Linked DNA regions of Drosophila melanogaster. The protein of the gene in region 1 interacts with the protein of each later gene in a pairwise test. Each region holds a gene or a part of one and is shown in the gene's direction. Other genes may lie near its edges.

Evidence for each region.
Region 2: the proteins of Boh1 (region 1) and dmrt11E interact in a two-hybrid assay, tested with the Drosophila melanogaster proteins (one large-scale study listed by BioGRID).
Region 3: the proteins of Boh1 (region 1) and BuGZ interact in a two-hybrid assay, tested with the Drosophila melanogaster proteins (one large-scale study listed by BioGRID).
Region 4: the proteins of Boh1 (region 1) and CG34404 interact in a two-hybrid assay, tested with the Drosophila melanogaster proteins (one large-scale study listed by BioGRID).

What each region holds. Positions count from the first base shown.
Region 1 is NT_033777.3:27,917,638-27,921,095, reverse strand, and holds Boh1 (buddy of Hmr 1), read left to right. Parts: upstream 1-1,635; 5' UTR 1,636-1,812; coding exon 1,813-2,838; 3' UTR 2,839-2,912; downstream 2,913-3,458. Other genes in the region: CG12259 (uncharacterized protein), read left to right, coding at 102-1,181; mRpS22 (mitochondrial ribosomal protein S22), read right to left, coding at 2,913-3,458.
Region 2 is NC_004354.4:13,366,213-13,370,982, forward strand, and holds dmrt11E (doublesex-Mab related 11E), read left to right. Parts: upstream 1-1,978; 5' UTR 1,979-1,987; coding exon 1,988-2,038; intron 2,039-2,280; coding exon 2,281-3,028; intron 3,029-3,786; coding exon 3,787-4,121; 3' UTR 4,122-4,260; downstream 4,261-4,770. Other genes in the region: CG1640 (uncharacterized protein), read left to right, coding at 4,575-4,590.
Region 3 is NT_033779.5:16,741,605-16,746,453, forward strand, and holds the start of BuGZ (Bub3 interacting GLEBS and zinc finger domain protein), read left to right. Parts: upstream 1-1,800; 5' UTR 1,801-1,925; coding exon 1,926-1,960; coding exon of another isoform or gene 1,961-1,966; intron 1,967-2,155; coding exon 2,156-2,463; intron 2,464-2,519; coding exon 2,520-2,781; intron 2,782-3,085; coding exon 3,086-3,503; coding exon of another isoform or gene 3,504-3,548; exon of another isoform or gene 3,549-3,961; intron 3,962-4,622; coding exon 4,623-4,849. Other genes in the region: ChLD3 (chitin and LDLR binding deacetylase 3), read left to right, coding at 1-284, 343-621; LSm7 (uncharacterized protein), read right to left, coding at 1,065-1,382, 1,442-1,456.
Region 4 is NT_033777.3:15,363,382-15,369,629, reverse strand, and holds CG34404 (uncharacterized protein), read left to right. Parts: upstream 1-1,964; 5' UTR 1,965-2,195; coding exon 2,196-2,483; intron 2,484-2,807; exon of another isoform or gene 2,808-2,831; coding exon of another isoform or gene 2,832-2,966; exon of another isoform or gene 2,967-3,033; coding exon 3,034-3,283; intron 3,284-3,340; coding exon 3,341-3,670; intron 3,671-3,725; coding exon 3,726-3,859; intron 3,860-3,921; coding exon 3,922-4,223; intron 4,224-4,284; coding exon 4,285-4,995; intron 4,996-5,053; coding exon 5,054-5,186; 3' UTR 5,187-5,697; downstream 5,698-6,248. Other genes in the region: CG14868 (uncharacterized protein), read left to right, coding at 1-564, 617-724, 783-870, 929-1,067, 1,124-1,694; CG6171 (uncharacterized protein), read left to right, coding at 5,862-6,248.

The sequences.
Region 1 (3,458 bases):
TTTTTCAATGTTTCTGCTACGGTCACACCAATTGGATGTTTACAAATTTCGTTTACGAATTAAATAAAAAAAAATATAAATAAATACAGAAACAACTAAGGATGGCCCACTACAAAGGTGCCGCCAGCGAGGCGGGCCGTGCAGCCCAGCTGATGAAGAAGCGGGAGATCCAGCAGCAGGAGATCGAGTTTCGCAAGAAGAAGATCGAGGAGGAGCTCAAGCTGGACAAGATTGAGAACAAGTTTGCCACCCACTACGATGCCGTGGAGCAGCAGCTCAAGTCCTCGACCATTGGTCTGGTCACCCTCGACGAGATGAAGGCCAAGCAGGAGGATATAGTGCGGGAACGGGAGAAGAAGCTCGCCCAGAAGAAGGACGAAAAGGATCGGGAGAAGCAGCGCGCCCTGGAGGCCATTCAGGCGGAGAAGAACAAGCAGAAGCGGCAGATCCAGGCGCTGTCCTTCAACCTGGACGACGACGAGGAGGAGGAGGAGGAGGACGACGAGGATCACGATAAGAAACAGCTGAAGATTAAGCAGGAGGATCAGCCCAAGCCCAAGTGGACGGAGATCAAGGAAGACATTTTGCCCATAAAGAAGAAGAAGATATGCAAGAATCCTGACGTGGACACTTCCTTTCTGCCAGATCGCGAGCGCGAGGAGCAGGAGAACAGACTGCGCGAGCAGCTGCGTCAAGAATGGGTAATGCAGCAGGCGGAGCTGAAGGACGAGGACATCTCCATCACGTTCAGCTACTGGGATGGCTCCGGCCATCGGCGGAACGTGCTGATGAAGAAGGGCAACTCCATCTACCAGTTTCTGCAGAAGTGCCTGGAGCTGCTGCGCAAGGAGTTCATCGAACTGAAGACCGTAATGGCCGACCAGCTGATGTACGTCAAGGAGGATCTGATCCTGCCGCACCACTATTCCTTCTACGACTTTATCGTGACCAAGGCACGCGGCAAATCCGGCCCGCTCTTCCAGTTCGACGTCCACGACGATGTGCGCATGATAAGCGACGCCTCCGTGGAGAAGGAGGAGTCCCATGCCGGAAAGGTACTCCTCCGCTCCTGGTACGAGCGCAACAAGCACATCTTCCCAGCCAGCCGATGGGAGCCCTACGATCCCACCAAGTCCTACGACAAGTACACCATCAAGGACAAGGATAAGAGTAAAAAGTAGTGCTTAGGGCAGTTTCTGCCCGAATAATTGTACAATATAATAATGATTGATTTAATACATCAAAACAAACGAAAAATAACTACAATTTTTATTTGATTTTTCCACCAGATTTACAATCAGTTTAATTAAACTATTATAATAGGCATTGAATGAAATATAAAATATATAACAAATTTATGTTTGCTTAATACAATTTTGAATTCATTAGAAAATGTCATACTTCTCATAAGAATACCCCTAATTATTTAAAATGGCACTGTTAAGAGAACTTGTTGCTAAACAAATTTGGTAGAAATTTTAGTTTATAAACACAGTATAATCAGAGAACATGCAGTTATTCAGCACTTCGTATTGATTGCCATGAAAAAAGAACTGTTAGATTTATATTTTATTTTAATTTTTTAATATTCCAACTGTCATAATAGTCAAAAGAAGTCGGATATGGCGGGAAAAAAGCTAGCCCGCCAGCACCAATAGCAACATTGAATTTTTTGCGCCAGTAAAATTCGCGTCTTTTTATAAAAAGCAAGCGTAATTAATAACAAAAATAAAATAAGTTCCAAGTAAAATGTGAATTCATTTTTCGGATACGTATCGATTTAGTGCCATTTGAGAACCCCGAACCAACGAAATGTACCCGGCGCAACCGGCAAAGGTGGCGTTGGCCGGTCAACCGATATCCGCCGGAAAACCACCACGCCACAGCCCTGTTCAGATGAAGTCTATCCCTTTGCCCGTCTTCGAGCTGCCGGAATACGTGTGCGTGGAGACCAAGTGGGTGACACGCAAGTACGCGATAGAGAATGGCATTCCAGTGAAAGAACTGCATGCCCCGATCACCAATGGAGGCGCTACAGAGTCTCCCAAGAAATCCGTACAGCAGAAGAGACTCAACGAGGTCACTGGAATGTTTGCGAACGAGGCTATGGTGCCGCGCAGAGAGCGCGCCATTCAAACAGAGAATGCGGGCACTAAGGATGCGGGCATTCAATGCCGTCGCGATTCGGAGGAGTGGTATTTACCAGAGGAACGGCCAAAGGATACCGGTTCTGAGGCCTCCAATTCCGACAAATTTCTCACCTACGTGAGCGAGAACACATTCATATTTCCCAACGGCATGATGGAGTGCGCGGTGTGCGGCGATGTGGCCAAAACCTTGCTGGAGCACCAGAGCCACATGACCGCGCACTATGGACCTGGTGCTCTGTGCTTTCGCTGTGGTCAGCGTCTGGACCACCAGAAACAATTGAAGCAACACAGTCTGAGCTGTCCCGCTCTAGCGCCCAGGAAGTCATCGATGCTCTTTAAATGCCCACATCTACTCTGCAACGCCATGAGCCACTCAGAGATGCAGTTGCTCAGGCACCTGAGAAACCATAGCGGCAGGAAGTGCTACAGATGTCTTCAGTGCAAACGTTACTTCAAGACCACCACCTCTCTTTTGGTACACCGAAAAAAAGAACAGAGTTGTGCCAAGGCGAAAGTGGTCGTCCTATTTCGCGAACACAACGGGTTGCCCAATGGAAGAGGTGATCCCAGACGTTGCTCAGTTTGCTTGAAGCGTTTCAGCAGCGAGCGGGTATGCCTGCGGCACCGGAGACAGTGCATCCTTGGCCATTTTAGACGGCTGTCCAGGGTCCTCAAGAAGGAGCTATGAACAGCGTATAGAAATCTTGACCTAGCTGGTATTTATTAGTACATAGAAATCGATAACAATAAAGCGAATAGATCCTACGAAGCCTGGACGCCGTGAGCCTTTTTCAGTCCCTGGAACAGCATCAGTTTCTCCCGGTTAACTTCCTTAAGCGTCTGCACCGCCAGCTCCAGTTGCACCTTCTTCAGCGCATGTTCGCTGGCGATGTACTGCTCAATGAACTTCAGGCTGATCTCATCGGCGGCGAAATCGTGCTCCGTCTTGCCAATGGCCGTATGGATCTCCTGCTCAATGTTCTGCTTATTGTCATGTCGTCGGAAGACGCTTCTTAGCTCCGCCAGGGCACTTTCCGCCGGCGTGGCATGCAGTTTGCCCAGTTCGGTCAGCGTTGCCTGATACTCCACTGGGATGTTGTGTAGCTTGTAGCTCAGAGCAATCAGCTCCACGGCATTGTGCAGATAATCCCGACGGATCATGTCATACAGCAGGTCGTCGATGCAGCGGTGCCAAGCGTAGAAGAAGGCCATGGGTCCAAAGTGGCGGGTGGAGCGCAGAAGATCGAACTCCTTGGACTCGTTGAGATGCTCGAACACACGCGCTGAAATGTTGTGGAACTCCGGCTC
Region 2 (4,770 bases), on another chromosome or scaffold:
CTTACGAACACACACACAACCAGAAGTATTATTATGTAATCTAAAAACCCGCACCAAAGGACAAACGATCCACTTAACTAGTAACCTAGCTACCCATATTTGAGCGCACTAATTGTTATGAACCGATTTTTATTGAACCGAGTATATCTTATATGATGATGCAACCTCGATCTGAAAAACGAAAACAAAAGAGTCCACACACTTGTTGAAATTTGTCGCATACAGCGAGCGAAATAATTGCATAAACTGGCATTATCTATCTATTAGATATTATTTCTATATAGCATATTTATTTCCATTCTTGTTTATGGAAACAGAACATTTGTAGATGTGTGTCCCAAAAAGGGCCTGTTTATCTTACTTGGCTACATTTCAGAGCTCTCATATTATTTTACCATTTCAAATCATCTGCCACTTGGCAGCTCAAATTTCCCACTTTAAGTTCCATTCTCGTTGGGTAAATCCAATGAAAACTGATAGATAGAGATCGTAATGGAGTAAAATCAATAATGATAGCATTGATAAAGCCAATGGAAATACAATTATTTCGCGAGCTGTATGGTTTAGCCTAGCGACCAGTGAGCCTGTTATATTAGAACTCTATAGATAGATCGTCGTTTGGCAATCAAACGTTGTTGAATTTGAAGCCCAAATCGAAATCGAGAACAAAACTCGATAACCGATAATCGATAATCGAGAATCGAGAAGCGGCGAGCCCTTTAAGCATTGTGATATGATATAATAGCAAACGAAGTGAATTCAGAGTGCGTCTGTGTCAAGAGCGGAGAATCGTATCGAAGGAAATCAAAGTATTTACGATAGCTACAATCCATAGTCGATATAAAATATTAATAATAATACTAATAATATTATTGATGATATATAGGTACCATATGTAATGTTTGTACTTTTGTGATTTGTGTTCGTTCAAATTTTTTGTAGGGCCGCGTGTTTTGTAATTTAGATTTAGTTGGTTCAAGGATCAAAACTTTTTTAAGCGAATGTTATATATATACACGCACCGTTAATACACACATAGATTTCAATTTAGAGAACGTTTTTTAAACAGTAAAGGACAATAACTTTGCAAGCATTTACCATATGATTCCATGTTAAACACAAGTAATTATAATTACCAAACATTAAACAAAAGTTCGTTGTTGGTCCCGTTTTAACATGAACCGATTGTCCGCTACAACCTTATAATATATGATGATCATAATGTATATGATCCTGAGACCATAATAGAACGCACTCGAATACACGAATAGTACTTTCCTAGTCGCACCTGCATTTTGACCAACCAACCAATCGAATCGAAAACCTGGCACATTTCTAGCTCAAGCTTTAATCAATGTAATCCTCTAATAGAACTCAGTAACGTTTTTGAATCACACTTACTAAATGGATATAAAATACATATATGTATGCAGAGGGACAGTGCGTTTCACAATTGTATGAAGTGAGATAATAGCATTTATTCATTCGGTTCGAAGAACACAATTTCCCATTTGACAACTTTTTGCGGTAAGTTCGATTACATATCCTAATTAAAAACAGCTGGCTGAATTCGAAATTATTTGACAATCGCCAACAGTTGGCCATCATTTGTTCCGAAATTTAAAAGATTGTTACTTGTGAAACGCGCTGCACCGTATATATAAGCATATATGTATATATTTACACAAAAAATATATAAAGAAGGCATTTAAAAGGCATTAAATGGAAAGTCCTTTCACCTAAAAACTTCTAGTATATAAATCGCTGAGAATTTTTTTTTCTTTTTTTTACGTACTATTAGCTAATGAAACGATATGGCTAAACTCGAGTTGAATTTGTATTTATACGGAAATATATATATACATATATATATATGTGTGTACGTGCTATATAAGATAATGAATGCTACAAATTGTTATACACGTAAACCGAAATTGACTCAAATAAACGAATAAAGATATTAAACGAAGACAGGCCAGAAATCAATATGCACTTTGACGAAACACGGAGTCCAAACAAAGATGTACGGATTGGAAAGGTATAGTGAAACATGCCTATAAAGAACCATAGAAGATTCACAGATACTTTTACCTTCTTAAATTCTTTAAGATGCCCCAAGTAATTGATTAAGCAAGTGATCCATAACCTATATATATATGCTATATATGTATATATTACTAATCTTTGAAATCGCTTTCAATGAGTTCCTCCTGTAGTCGAATGTATCTTTTGCATGCTGATGCGAGACATCTGTGCGGCCATTGGATCTTCTATATTTAGAGCCAGCGATTAGCAGCCAATGGCAGGCAAGGAACCGATCCCGAGTCCGATCCCTTGCATGCTCGCTGTGTTGTACCTCATGCTAGTACACCTCGTGGGCGTCGGATACCCTGGGGACACAACGACGACGACGACGACGGAAACCACTTGACGCTGCCAGACAGTCTGACGGCGACAAGTAGCTGCGGTTGCCAGTGCTTAAATGTTCGCGCCCCGTTCCACATCCTTTTAGTCGATCAGCAAGCGAGGATGAGCAAGGACGCCAGTGTTAGGATTTGCCAGCGGGAGCGACGTCTCCTGCGGACGCCGAAGTGCGCCAGGTGTCGCAATCACGGCGTCATCTCCTGTGTCAAGGGTCACAAGCGTCTGTGCCGTTGGCGCGAATGCTGCTGCCCCAATTGCCAACTGGTCGTCGATCGCCAGCGGGTGATGGCCGCCCAGGTGGCCCTGCGACGTCAGCAAACCATGGAGGCTCTGGAGGCCACCGCATCATCTACAAAATCCACGGGCGTAACAACGGCCAGTGCCAACAACTCCAGCAGCAGCGAGGGCGAGGACTCCCTCAGCTCCACTTCACCACCGCCGGCACATTCACATCCACATTCGCATTCGCATCCCACATCTTGCGTTAGCAACTCATCTTCATCCTCGGCCACCCGACAGGCTCTGATGGCCCAAAAGAGGATCTACAAGCAGAGACTACGCAGTTTGCAGCAATCCACATTGCATATCACAGCCGCCATGGAAGGTTAGTATGGGACTACATAAATAAGGATTTATGTACATATCAAAAAGGATATCTATCTATGAGTCCGCAATCAAATAGACACTTTCCAATTTGGAAATTATTAGATGTCGTAAAGTAGACGACACAGCTGAAATGATAAGTACATTCCCTACTCACACGCTTTCCCATACGGTGCCAGACTGTCTGGTCCGTTCGTAATCGGAGATCCTCTCCGGTCTCCAGTCTCCTGTCTCCCGCCGCCCATCTTCCGTCTCTTTTCCTCTGTCCATGGACGTGGTCGTGGTCGTGGACAGGAAATGACTGATGCCCAACAATAACAACAGCAATTATTCGACTGACGAAAAACAATTGAAATCGGATGCTTCGAAATGTGTGTGTGCAGTGTACGCACATTTTCCAATCACTTGAGGGGAGTCACATTCGGTAAGCTGAGACGCGACCAAAAACGGAAAAACCCATCCGACTCACAAAAAGAGCCAAATGTGGCAACAGCAATTGACTTCTTTCTGGGTTTTCCATCTGGTTCCATCCGAATAAGTGGAGATCCCGAAACCGGTCCGAAGTTGAAACAAAAAAACAAAAAAAAAAAAACGGTGCCAGGCTGTCTGGTCAGGCGACGCGTGTCTCGGATTACCCAATAATAAATTGTTTCAATTTGGAATACCCATTCATAACGAATCGCGGCAATTTGTAGTGATAACGCCCCCACCAAAACCCTCACTAATTTCAACCATTCCTTTTGGTTCGTTCTCTTTCAGAATACAAACAGCGATTTCCCACGTTCAGCTCGCCATTGATGGAGCGCATGCGCAAACGGCGGGCATTCGCCGATCCGGAACTGAACCATGTCATGGAGGCGACGCTGGGCGGTAACGCTTTGTACTTTGCCACCGTTGCCGCCGCCGCCGCCGCCTGCGCACCCGTTCATCAGGAGCAGCACATTTATCACCCGATGCCGCCGACGATACCGCTAACGATCCCGCCCACAAATCCAGCGATGACCACGCCCGCAGTCACCACTGCCTCCACCGGCAGTGGCAAGAAGCCCAAGCTGAGTTTCTCCATCGAATCCATCATGGGCATCAGCACGTAGCCATGGCTTTCTAGGGCTTACTACCCATCATTTTTTCCAAATGCACTCTGTACATAATTCTAGCGTTAGAAAACCCATTTTTTTGAATAGCAATAAGTTTCGAGTGAAATAAAACATGCGAAAAGGTTTTGTAGAAGAGAAAAAAAAGCTTACCAAACTATTGATAAAAATTCTTTTATACGGAGGAGATATTCACAGAAATCTTATTTTCTAAGAGCTATCATAACGAACTTGAAAAGAATACTATATAAACAAACCTAAGTAGACTATGGGTAAAATGTAGGGCATAGCTTGTTCATACATTTTCGGGCCAGGATTGAATCGACACAAAACTAATTCAATGGGACACTCCTATAACAATCAATTTCAGTGATATATGAAGATGCGCACAAAGCCAGCAAAATTGTTTAAGTGAATTTAAAGCCTTACACGAAAAACAAGCAAAGAGCAAAGATGTTTAAAAACAGAAGTAAGTTCATAATTAATAGAAATAAACGAAAGTTAGTTAAGATCGCAATTAATCGATATTTAAAAAGAGCTATTTATAAAACACATTAGTTTGTTTTTGAATGCTCTGAGCTTTCCAGTGTTGGTGCAAATCGCTGGTCTATCGATCTATCGCCGTCTATCGAAAGTTTGGCTGCGAGGG
Region 3 (4,849 bases), on another chromosome or scaffold:
CCTACACCTTGGACTACAAGATGCCGCACAGCTGCACGGGCGTAAATCAGAATTGCCCGTCTAGGAGTTATCCGGGCATTTGGGAGCTGGTTATGAACCAACTGGAAGTGGGCGAGTATATGTGCGGCATGGTGGACACGTGTCCGCCGCATTTGAGCGGCGAGGATGTGTACAGAATGCTCACGCACAACTTCAAGAGGCACTACCTCAGCAATAGGGCACCATTTGGCCTGTATTTCCATTCGACTTGGTTCAAGAAAGTCGACTATCTGAATGCATTTCTGGTGAATATTCGAATTGTTACCCATAATACTAGATCTTCATTCCTTCCTGATCATTTAGAAATTCCTCGACGATCTGCAAAAGCTGCCGGATGTGTTCTTCGTGACTAACCAGCAGGCGATTCAGTGGATGCGCCATCCCACGCCCAGCAACCAGCTGCACCAATTCGAGTCCTGGCACTGCCAACCGAAGGACTTGGATCCCCACGAGCAGGTCTGCAACACGCCGAATGTGTGCAAGGTGCGTAGTCGGGTGCTGCAAGAGGATCGATTCTTCTACACTTGCATGGAGTGTCCTGCCCAGTATCCCTGGATTCGCAACGAGTTCGGCTTGGACTAAGGTGATAGCCCGCTTGACACTATAGGGCTCTGCGCAAGGCGCTTTGATATATCCATAATGTTTGGAGCGTTCCATAAGTAATTGGATAAGATTGATACAATTTTAGGTTTTAATTGTTTAGAAAAATTAATATTTATAAATTGGATTACGCATATTTAGATGATTCAGCTTTCAAAATCTGACCGTAAGCAAACCCGTAGATAACTTCGTAACATACCTGAAGAGGATAAAGTGCATTAATTTAAAATCGGAACACTCTGAATTTTATGGAGAAGCTTAAACAATTTCGCGGGCTCATAAACGTGGTACTTTGCGGCCTGATTAGATTTTAAGAACTAATTTATACGTATGTATGTCTCCGCTAAATATATTTAAACCGATTTCCAAAAGAGCTTTGTACTTAGTCTACATTCTGGAACGCATCCCAGCCACAAAACCTTGGACTATTGCGTTATAAACGGATTGGCGATGCTCTCGACTCCGTCTTGCGGACAAATGAGGACGAGGGCTGTGCCGCGACAGACGACCAGTCCCAGGCTGCGGGTCTGCTCCTCGGTCAGTTTGTAGGGCTCATCCGAGTCGCGCAGATACTCCACCGTGTTGTCCAGCACCAGATTGAGCAGCGCATCGTAGCCCTTGAGGATTCCGGATGCCTCGCGGCCGCCCGCGAATTTCACGCGGATCTGTTTCTCCAAGTACTTGGAGAGGTCCAGAATGGACTCCTTGCGGCGCTTCTCCTTACCGTCATTGTTGCCACCCACCTGACAAGTCACGATTTTGATGATTAAGCACCACAATGTAGTTATTCTATTTAATTTACCTTTTTATCTGCCATTATTCTGTTTTTGGTAAATGCCGGCTGGTAAAGAGTGACCAAAGCATATTTTTTTAGAAATACACCAAATAAGGCGCTACTAGCCAGCAGATGGCGCTGGTGAAGTAATCTTATGGGCCGCGCTTTTTGAGGTACATAATCGATAATAATGGAATAAACATATGTAAGAATTAATGTTATTTGAAAAATATGACAACAAAGTTCTCTTATTTCTACTGTCATCATTGTGAAATTATTTTCTTACCTTTTGCTATTGAGGCGAACATATCAATTTATTTGTATAATAATTATTATATTGGTTTAAGATATCGATAAGATTCATTTATTTGTATCGATATGCTGGTCACTCTGACTGGCTCTCCATTTTGTTTTCCACGACAGAGCAATTTTTAGTACAACAGATTGTTATCTTCTACCAATTACCGGATCGATTTTGTACATTTAAGTGTTTTAAAGCCACCTTAGGATCATGGGACGCAAGAAGAAGAAGGCCTCCAAACCCTGGTGCTGGTATCCTTTTCGCAAAACAAAGATATAAATATTTTTTCACTGCATGTGCCGCTCGCTGTATCTGCACATACACACACATTTATATAATGGTATTGGGTTGGGGGTAGATACACACACACATGTATATGCATACTGGCTACAACGCCGCATCCCCGTGAATTTTCCTTAACTCTTAACGCAAAAAACTAGGTACTGCAACCGTGAGTTCGATGACGAAAAGATCCTTGTGCAGCACCAGAAGGCCAAGCACTTCAAATGCCACATCTGCCACAAGAAGTTGTACACCGGACCCGGACTATCCATACACTGCATGCAGGTGCACAAGGAAACGGTGGACAAGGTCCCCAACTCGCTGCCCAATCGCTCAAATATTGAAGTCGAAATCTTTGGCATGGACGGCATTCCCGCCGAGGATCTCAGGGATCACGAACGTCAGAAGAATGGTGGCAAGTCTGATTCGGACGATGATGAACCGGTGGCCAAAAAGAAAGTAGAATGTAAGTGATCAGCAAACTGTATTGTATACAAAATCGCTATACAACATTCATTGCAGATGCCATGAGTGTACCGCCGCCTATGATGATGCCCCCGAACATGATGCCACCGCACATGCTGGGGCAGTACGGCATGGGCATGATGCAGCACATGCCGCCACTGCCTCCGTATCCAGTGCCCATGATGCCGCACATGATGCCTCCGCGTCCTTTGTTTCCAGCCGCCATGGCCACAACATCGGCGGCAGCTGCTGCGGCGGCGGCCCATCATCACCACGCCGCCGCCATGGCTCAACAAAAGCCAACATTTCCAGCGTACAGGTTAGCATCGTTAGGGGAAGACCATATAAGAATCCTTCCAATTTTTTTTTCTAAAGCTAGCAGTTAGACGTAGAGCCCTGTTAATAATCTTTTTTTTTTAAACGATTCGTATGTAAATTCAGTTTTGGGGGTATTTTAGGTGAAATACTTTCTACTCCAAATAATTGTTCACATTGGCACATTTTTAATGGTTTTCCCCTATTAAACATAGTTGTGAAGCAAGTCAAATGACTTATTATTAGGCTTAATCCTAAGAATTTGTTTTTAACTAACGTAAATCAATTATTTCTTCTTTTTGCTAAAGTAATGCTACCATAAGTGCTCCGCCTACCACCAATCATGCTGGTGGCGCATCCAGCGCACCACCAAGTGGTCCGCCAGATGCTCAGCAACACCAGCAGCGACCTCCAGCTCCACCGGCGGCAAGCGGAACTTCCGCTGCTGCTGTGACCACAAAGATTATGCATCCACAGGAGGACCTGAGTCTGGAAGAATTGCGCGCGCGCCAACCGAAAATACAAGCACGGTTGGCGGCCGCTTTGGCTTCACTGGCGAATCCACAAAGTCGCAAGAGTCCCAGCAACAATGGTGGCCCCTCTACGTCGATTCCCACCACTCCGCCGCCCCCGTCGCTGGCCGGGATCTCGCCCACGGGTAGCAATAGCAGCAGTGGCATGGCTAACTCGATTGTCGTCTCCGCAGCCATGTCGAAGGCCCAGGAAGTGAGTTCTTATCATAGTTATAGAAACCATAGTCAATATAAATAAACAGACCGTGACGGAAACGACTTCCACTGATTAACAGGAAATGACAAGCACAACGGACTGAAACGAGGACGTGTAAAAAAGACAATTTCCTCCAAAAAAAGAAAAATAATGAAAGAATAAATGTAATTGCACATAAAAAAACCTGACCCAATTTCGACTGCATTTTAAGAGAATGCATTCAGCATTCTAACAGAATTCCATTTTTCCAAACTGGACACTTTTATACATTTACTCTGCGCAGATCGCAAATTGCGACAGCGGAAGTTACGTTTAGACGACCACAGCGTACGAGAGCAAACAGATTACGAGAATCACACAATACGAAACAACATTAAAAAGAAAAGAAAACTTTTTTTAGCATATAGTATGATATATGTCTGTACAATTTTTAATTAAAAAAAATTAATGGCAACAAAACAAATGAAACGGCGGTTTTCAATTTAATTAATTTGATTTAAAACATTTTACCTCAACACATAGAGAACTCGATAGAAGGGAAAAGCAAGGTTTCGCATTGTCTTGGCCCTAAAAGTAATCTCCATCAATGTGATATGCCAACACATGTGCTAGTTTTGTATCTTAAAGGTAAAGCGGAAGCAGCTGAAATGCAATTCACATGCCCACTGATAAATAGTGAAATTCTTTATAGCGGGTGGGCTGATTTAATTGGATCATAGGGGCAGGTTTGAAGCCAGCTTGCTTAGTATGTTTTAGAAATCTATGTAGTCGGTTCCATACACGCTTAGGAAGCGTTTTTTACATCAAGCGCAGGCTAAAAACTCATTTTTAAATAGGGAATCTTAAATTAGATGATTACTTTAATTCTTGATATGATCTAGTAATTTTTGTTCGTCAATTTTTGTTACTTCAGCAGCTTACAATCTGCAATTCTATTTTTTCATTTGGGGTTCAGCCCCGTTTTTTTGAAACCCTTAAGCAAATTTTTTTGTTACCACGATAGGTACATAGAGACCTGACTCAGTCAGGATACATTTTTTTTGGGTTGACCCCGAAACTACACCCTCCCAGTGGCAAGTGAGATAAATTCAATCGATTCCAAACATTTTCTTACAGAACGCCGCTCTAGTTGCCGTGGCACAGGCGCAGGCACACGCACACGCACATGCTGCCCAGGTGCAGGCCCAAGCGCAAGCCCAGGCCGTGGTCCAAGCTCAGGTGCAAGCCGCGCATGTGGCACACGCTGTGGCAGCACAGCAGCAGGCAGTACAGCAGCAACAGGCGGCTCAGCAGCAACAGCAAGCCGCTGTGCAACAGCAGGCGGCGGTGCAGCAGCAGCAACA
Region 4 (6,248 bases), about 13 Mb from region 1:
CTTCAAAGCAAGGTGGAGGCACTTCGAATCCTGCGCCAGGAGCTGGAACAGTTTCGCGTGGAGCGAGACCAGTACAAGCTGGTGGCGGAGACCCTGCAGCTGCGCTACTCCGCGCTGAAGAGTAATAGCGAACTTCTGGCTGTCGGTGGATGTGGAGCCCTCAGCGAGAACTCCAGCCTGGCAGCCCTGCTCCACGAGACGCGCGAGCAGAACCTAAAGCTCAGCACCGAAGTGGAAGCCCTGAGGCAGCGGCTCAACGAGCTGCATGGCGACATGGAACTACTCCGGGAGACGGAGGCCAGCAACAAGTCGCGGGTACAGGCAATGGCCAGCGAGAATGCCGCTCGCAACAAGGAGGAGCTGCAGTGGCGTCGTGAGCGGGCAAACTTTATCTGCCACCTGGAGGGCCTCAAAAAAAGGAATGCCCAGCTGGCCTTCGACCTGAAGGCGGTGATCGATGAGAAGGAGGAGCTGATAACCGAGCGGGATGCCTACAAGTGCAAGGCACACCGCCTAAATCATGAACTCTTTGTGGCCCTCAGGGCGAAGAAAACGCATCCAAGGGTGAGTTAACTGATGCTATATAGTACTTACTTGATAGTTATTGATTTTCCAGCTCCTGGACATCGATGGTGTTTTGCTGGAGAACAAGTACCTGCATGAACGTGTGAAGATCCAAGACAGCGAACTGGAGCTCACCAAACAGAGCATCAATAAGTACAAGGTACTGGTATTAGTTAAGACTTATTACCATTTTATTTATTTATATTTAAATCATTCAGACAATGTTGGATGCAAAACGAAAGAAGGGAATTGTAAAACTTGGCGGTGGGAGCACAAATGAGGACACCATTCTAAGCCCCCGGCAAGGTGAGTAATTATATGGTGGCCACCTCTTTCATGCCTTTCTAATTTGTTTGTACCCTAGTGAAAACAATCCTCGAGAGTGGCATTGAGCTGCCTCAGAAAACCGAGAGCTTAAGCGATCTAAAATCCTTGTGTCTGGCCCTGCTGGACAATCTCAACGACAAGAACTTGGCCCTGACGCACCAAAAGAAGACCAACAAGTAGGAAAATCCAGCTGAAAGTTGATATATATTTCATAAACCCATATTTCCTGCAGAATACTGGCTGGCAAAATGACGGAGCTGGAGCAGCGGTGGCAACAACTCCTCTCCGGAAACGATGACAACGCAGAGGAGCAGGAGGAGGACGTGGAATATGGTTATGCGCCTTCGCAGCTGCTCCTCAATGGCTATTGTGCCGCCATGGTAGATGACGCCGACATCAGCAGCACTCCGTCCATTGAGCCAGATAACGAAGGCGTCGCCATTACAGCGGATCATGAAGATTCAAAGAAGCACAAGTCCGTTGAGGCTCTGCATTCCGACGATGGAATGTCCTCGCTTTCAACGGAGTCCGTGGATTCGTCTGTGTACGGTGCAGATGTGCAGCCCGATGACTTCCAAAAGTCTTCATCCGCCACAACAGATTCGGGCAACTGTGGATTGAGCAGCCGCTGCAACGGCACGCCACGAATATCCAGTGCAGTGGCACGGGAACGTATGGAGGATCTGAAGGACCTGCCGCCTCACCTGGCCACTCTGGTCCAGAAAGCACTTCACGATCTGGACATGCGGGACTACGAGGCTATGGTGACGATACGAGCAGAGAATCTGGCGGCTATTCCTTAGAGAAAAACTAGTTCAATTGAGGACTCCCAAAGAAATGGATGAAACCATATCTCAGTGTTGACAAAAGATATAATACATATATATATTACCGCAACAGCGTACAATAAAACCAGATTATATAAAATAAATCACTTTATTCAATCGATATTGCGTTGAAACTGGATATGTACAATAACTATAGCATACAGTTTTAAAAGACGCGCCCAAGTTATCGATAAATAATATGCGGAGTGTTGCATACCGTTAGCATAAACACACTCTCACACACTCTTATTTCTGGGTATACATTTTCTGATAAGAATGCAATAAATATCCCGACTGGTTGGAGTAATTTCGAGTTTTTGAATTAAAAATGCCTTAAGAAAAGTTTTTAATGAGCCATGTAGAGTTAACACCAGTGCCACATATCCTGGGAATGGAGCACCAATCAAAAGTCATCATCAAGCGGCCCAAATCAGGCCAATTCTAGTCGGAAAGTCGTTGCAGCCGCCCATTGCCACCATGTCGAATGATGTGCAGGTCGCCCGGGTGGCCAAGATAGCTACCGATGTGCCGCGTCGCAGTGGCAAGCAGCGTGACTCCAGCGGATTCCAGGGCAAGCACTCCGGCAGCGCGGCTGGCGAGGATTTCGAGTACGTCTTCGGTAGCATTTCGCCGCGCGGTGGAGGACCCGGTGGCAGGCACTTGGTGGGATCCTCCGACCTGGACTCTCCGGAGCACACGCAGCGGGACACCACCGAGAGTGACAACAACATATCCAGCTGCTCCACGCTAGACATTGTCAACAAAGTGAGTAATGATGCCCGCACTGAGAGAAATAACTAGATCTTAAATCAAAAAAATCAATATATTAATTTGCAATGATACATTGGTACTAAACATGATCAAGTTCATTTTAAATTAATTTTTAAAATGATCACAAAATATTTAAAAATACCTCATTATTGTGTAGTTTAAAATAAGAAACGCAGAATTTTCAATCATTGGTTTTCAAAGTGTTTCGGGCTTTAAATTCGGTTGGCGTCCAGTGCGCAGATGCGTGTGGAAGGCTGAGGGTCAAGTTGCAGCGGCGGAGAGCGCGGATGCATCCGCGGTCGGATGACGACGTAATCGCCAGTCAAAATTTTCCACTGGACCATGATTTCGGAGCAACTGCTTCCGCGCAGCTTGAGCTGCCTGTGCTGCAGCGATACGCCATCGGTGCCCAACGACAAGAGACGCAGTTGGGAGTATACGCTGATGGCTCATCCTCTGGCCAGACGGCCCATAAACGTGATGACCCCAAGAATAACCACTTAGAAAGCTCTAATCCGCCTCTTTTCTTTTGATTCACCTCCAGGTTGAGCAACTGTCGGTACAACAGCTAGAAAACCGGGTGCGGGATCTAACGCAGCGTCTGCAGCAGGCGGAAAGACAGCTCACTGAGAGCAACACAGAGCGGGAAATATGCCACAAGCGCTTGGAGGTTGTCAGCCAGGCCCACGAGTGTCGCATCACAGAGATGCACTGTGTCATCGCCGAGTTAAGCAAGAAATTGCGCAGTAAGCAGGACCACGTTATCATGGAGGAGCAGGAGCCCGACGGCAGCGGTGCGTAGCAGTTTCAAATGAGGGAAACAAACCCCTAACCGACAGTCTTGTTTTCAGAACTCAGCTTTCAGGAGGGTTCAGTGTACAATTCCGAGCTTAACCTCACCAATCCTGATGCCGAATGTCAAACAGAACCACTGGAAGACTTCGAGGGCGCCTGCAGTACCACCAGCGTGGGTAACGTTGCCCACAAACCGCCGGAACTGAGCCATAAGGGACAAGTGGAGGCACTGCAGGAGGAAGTTCTGCACTTGAGAGCTCGAATCGCCCTCCTCCAGTCCGAGATTTCCACCAAGGATGCTGCTGTGGTCGAGGAACAGACCAAAGTCGCCTTCGACTGCGAATCGGAAGTCAACGAGTGCGGACAGCGACTGAATGATTTGAATGGTAATATAAATAATCCTGATGATAAAAGAATGGTTACACATTTAGATGCTTTCAGTTTGCACTTCCTTGACAAGTCCGCAAAAACGCATTCCAGCGGTACCGAAAATGGCTGAACGGGTTAAGTTGCGGTGCGCCAGCAAACATGAATCCGGAGAAGATCCATCCCAAGATACTTCATTGAGCAACGAGGTGTGTTGACCAAAACTTTATTCAGAGAATACATTTCAACCCATACAACCCATAATTTTAAGCAAATTAATCTGGTCGAACATTTGGTGTCGGAGCTAAAGGAGCAAAATCTATATATGGAGAACTTTATGGAGCCCCTACATTTGAGCAAAGACTTGGAGCGACTGCAACGACGTGTTGAACAATTGGAGATGCGAAACACCATGCTGGCACTGACGCTAGACGAATGCAAGGAGCACACTGAGCATCTGTATCTGCTATGCGGAAAGTACGAGTCCAATGCGGTTGCTCTTCAGTTGGCGCTTAATTGCAGTGATCGCGCCATCGAGGCCTACGACGTAATGTTGGCTCTGCTCGAAAGCAAGTAAGTACAATCACCATAAGACGCGGGTTGTTGTCCCTATTTCACAATTCATCACTTCCAGGTTGGCACTGCTGGGGGAGAAATCAGTGGCAGCGGAAGAGAGTCGACGATCGGTGGAGGCGGTGGCCAGGCACCTGCTAGCCCGTTTGGATAGCGAGAAAAACGTTTGTGAGAACAGCCTGGGACCGTGGCAACACAACATCAACCTGGGCCCAGAGGATGCCCCAAAAACTGGCCGCCCGTGGTGTGCCGACGACGACAACCGCCTGCGTTACCACGTCTCCAAGCTGAAGGGACGTCGTTCCAATGTCCAGCATACCATTGTCAGTTTGGAATCACCCTTCAGCGACATATACGAAAGAAAGCGCCTGGCTTTGGAAAAGGAGCACGAACTTCGGAGCGCGGACAAGAAGTCACCCATTGACTTGGAGACAGCAGTGATTATGCAAGAAATACTCGAGCTGCGGGATTCGAATTTGCAGCTGAAGACAAAAATGGAAGAGGCCGAGCAGGAACGGCAGAACGCCAACGAACGAGTGGGCATACTCCACGAAGCCCTAAAGCAGCTACAGGCAAACAACCGGGTCTCGTATTCGGAGGCGGAGCATGCGGCTCTCACAGAGCAGCAGTTGGTGGAGGCCTTAACTCGAGAAACGGAGCTCAAGGGTCGCATACAGACGCTATTGGCAAATGTAACAGCTTCGCAGAAGGCCTTCGACGAAAAATACGAGCAACTGCATCAGAACGTGCGTGAACTGCAGAAATCCAACCAGTAAGATTCGTTTTATTTTGACTGTTTCATACATAATTTCTTCATATTTCCCTTTTAGCAATCTGGGCCAAATGTTAGATCACACCAAGCGCAAGTACCAGCTGCGGGTGAGGAAGCTAGAGCAGAAGATTGTTGACCTGCGGCTGGACTACGAGCAAGGCCATAACCATGTTCCTGAGACTACTCTGTAGGAAACGCATGACGACCTTCCAGGAGGACTGAGCAACTGGGCGTGGAGCGGGCGCGCTTGTCACATATCCCGCAAAAGATCTTTCCCTCTCGATCATATCGCTTATTTTACCTTTAATGCAATGACCACCCGCCCAGCAGTCGCCGTGGATCCGCCATGACCAAGACAGTATCACGAATGTGCCATGCGACTTAATTGCAGTCGGCTGGGGCTTGGGCGGTGTCCCTGCCTCGCAGATAAGGCTGCAGTAACTACATACTCAAATACATACATATTCAGAGGTGCCATGAGCAAGGCTCCACCAACCTATCCATAGATCCGTGGGATTGGAGCATCCGTCTATGGGCCACAAGCAATTACATATACACACATACGAATAGACAAACTAAGGAGTTATTCAAGACGCATACACGGGATCCTATATTTATACAATGTATTCGCATTTTGCTTGTTATATGATTCAATATGTATTTAAAACTGTACAAAATATAAAACGTCTACTAAAACTCGATAAAATTCACGAATTTGAAATTGGCTCCAATAATTAATCGATAAGCTAATGAAACTAACTTAAGCATCCATCACCATTTCGTGTAGTGTTGCAAATCACCAGAATCAAGTATATGAGTACTTGTGAAATAAAAATGTTTTGAAAATTTAACTTAATTTACTTAAAATGAGTGCCACAGATGCATCTACAGCCGATAGTGGCGCTAAACGAAAATCTTCTGAAGATATCACACACAATTGCAACGCAAATTTTGGCGCAGAAAACGGCCTAAGAAAGCGCGTAAAATCGGAGGAGCCTGTGGCGTCCATTAAAGATGAAACAAATCCTGAAGTTCCTATGAAAATAAAAGCTGAGCCAGTGGAGAATGCAGATGAGCCCACAAGCACTACTCCTGCGATCAAGATTAAAGCCGAACCAGCGGACAATGGAAACTCACCTGCAGCTGCGATGGTAAAAACCGAGCCCACTAATAGCAATGCACAGGACGCCGCCGACGAGTCTACCGTATCTTCAAGCAGTATTAGGACTTCTTGTCGCTTCGGCATACGATGC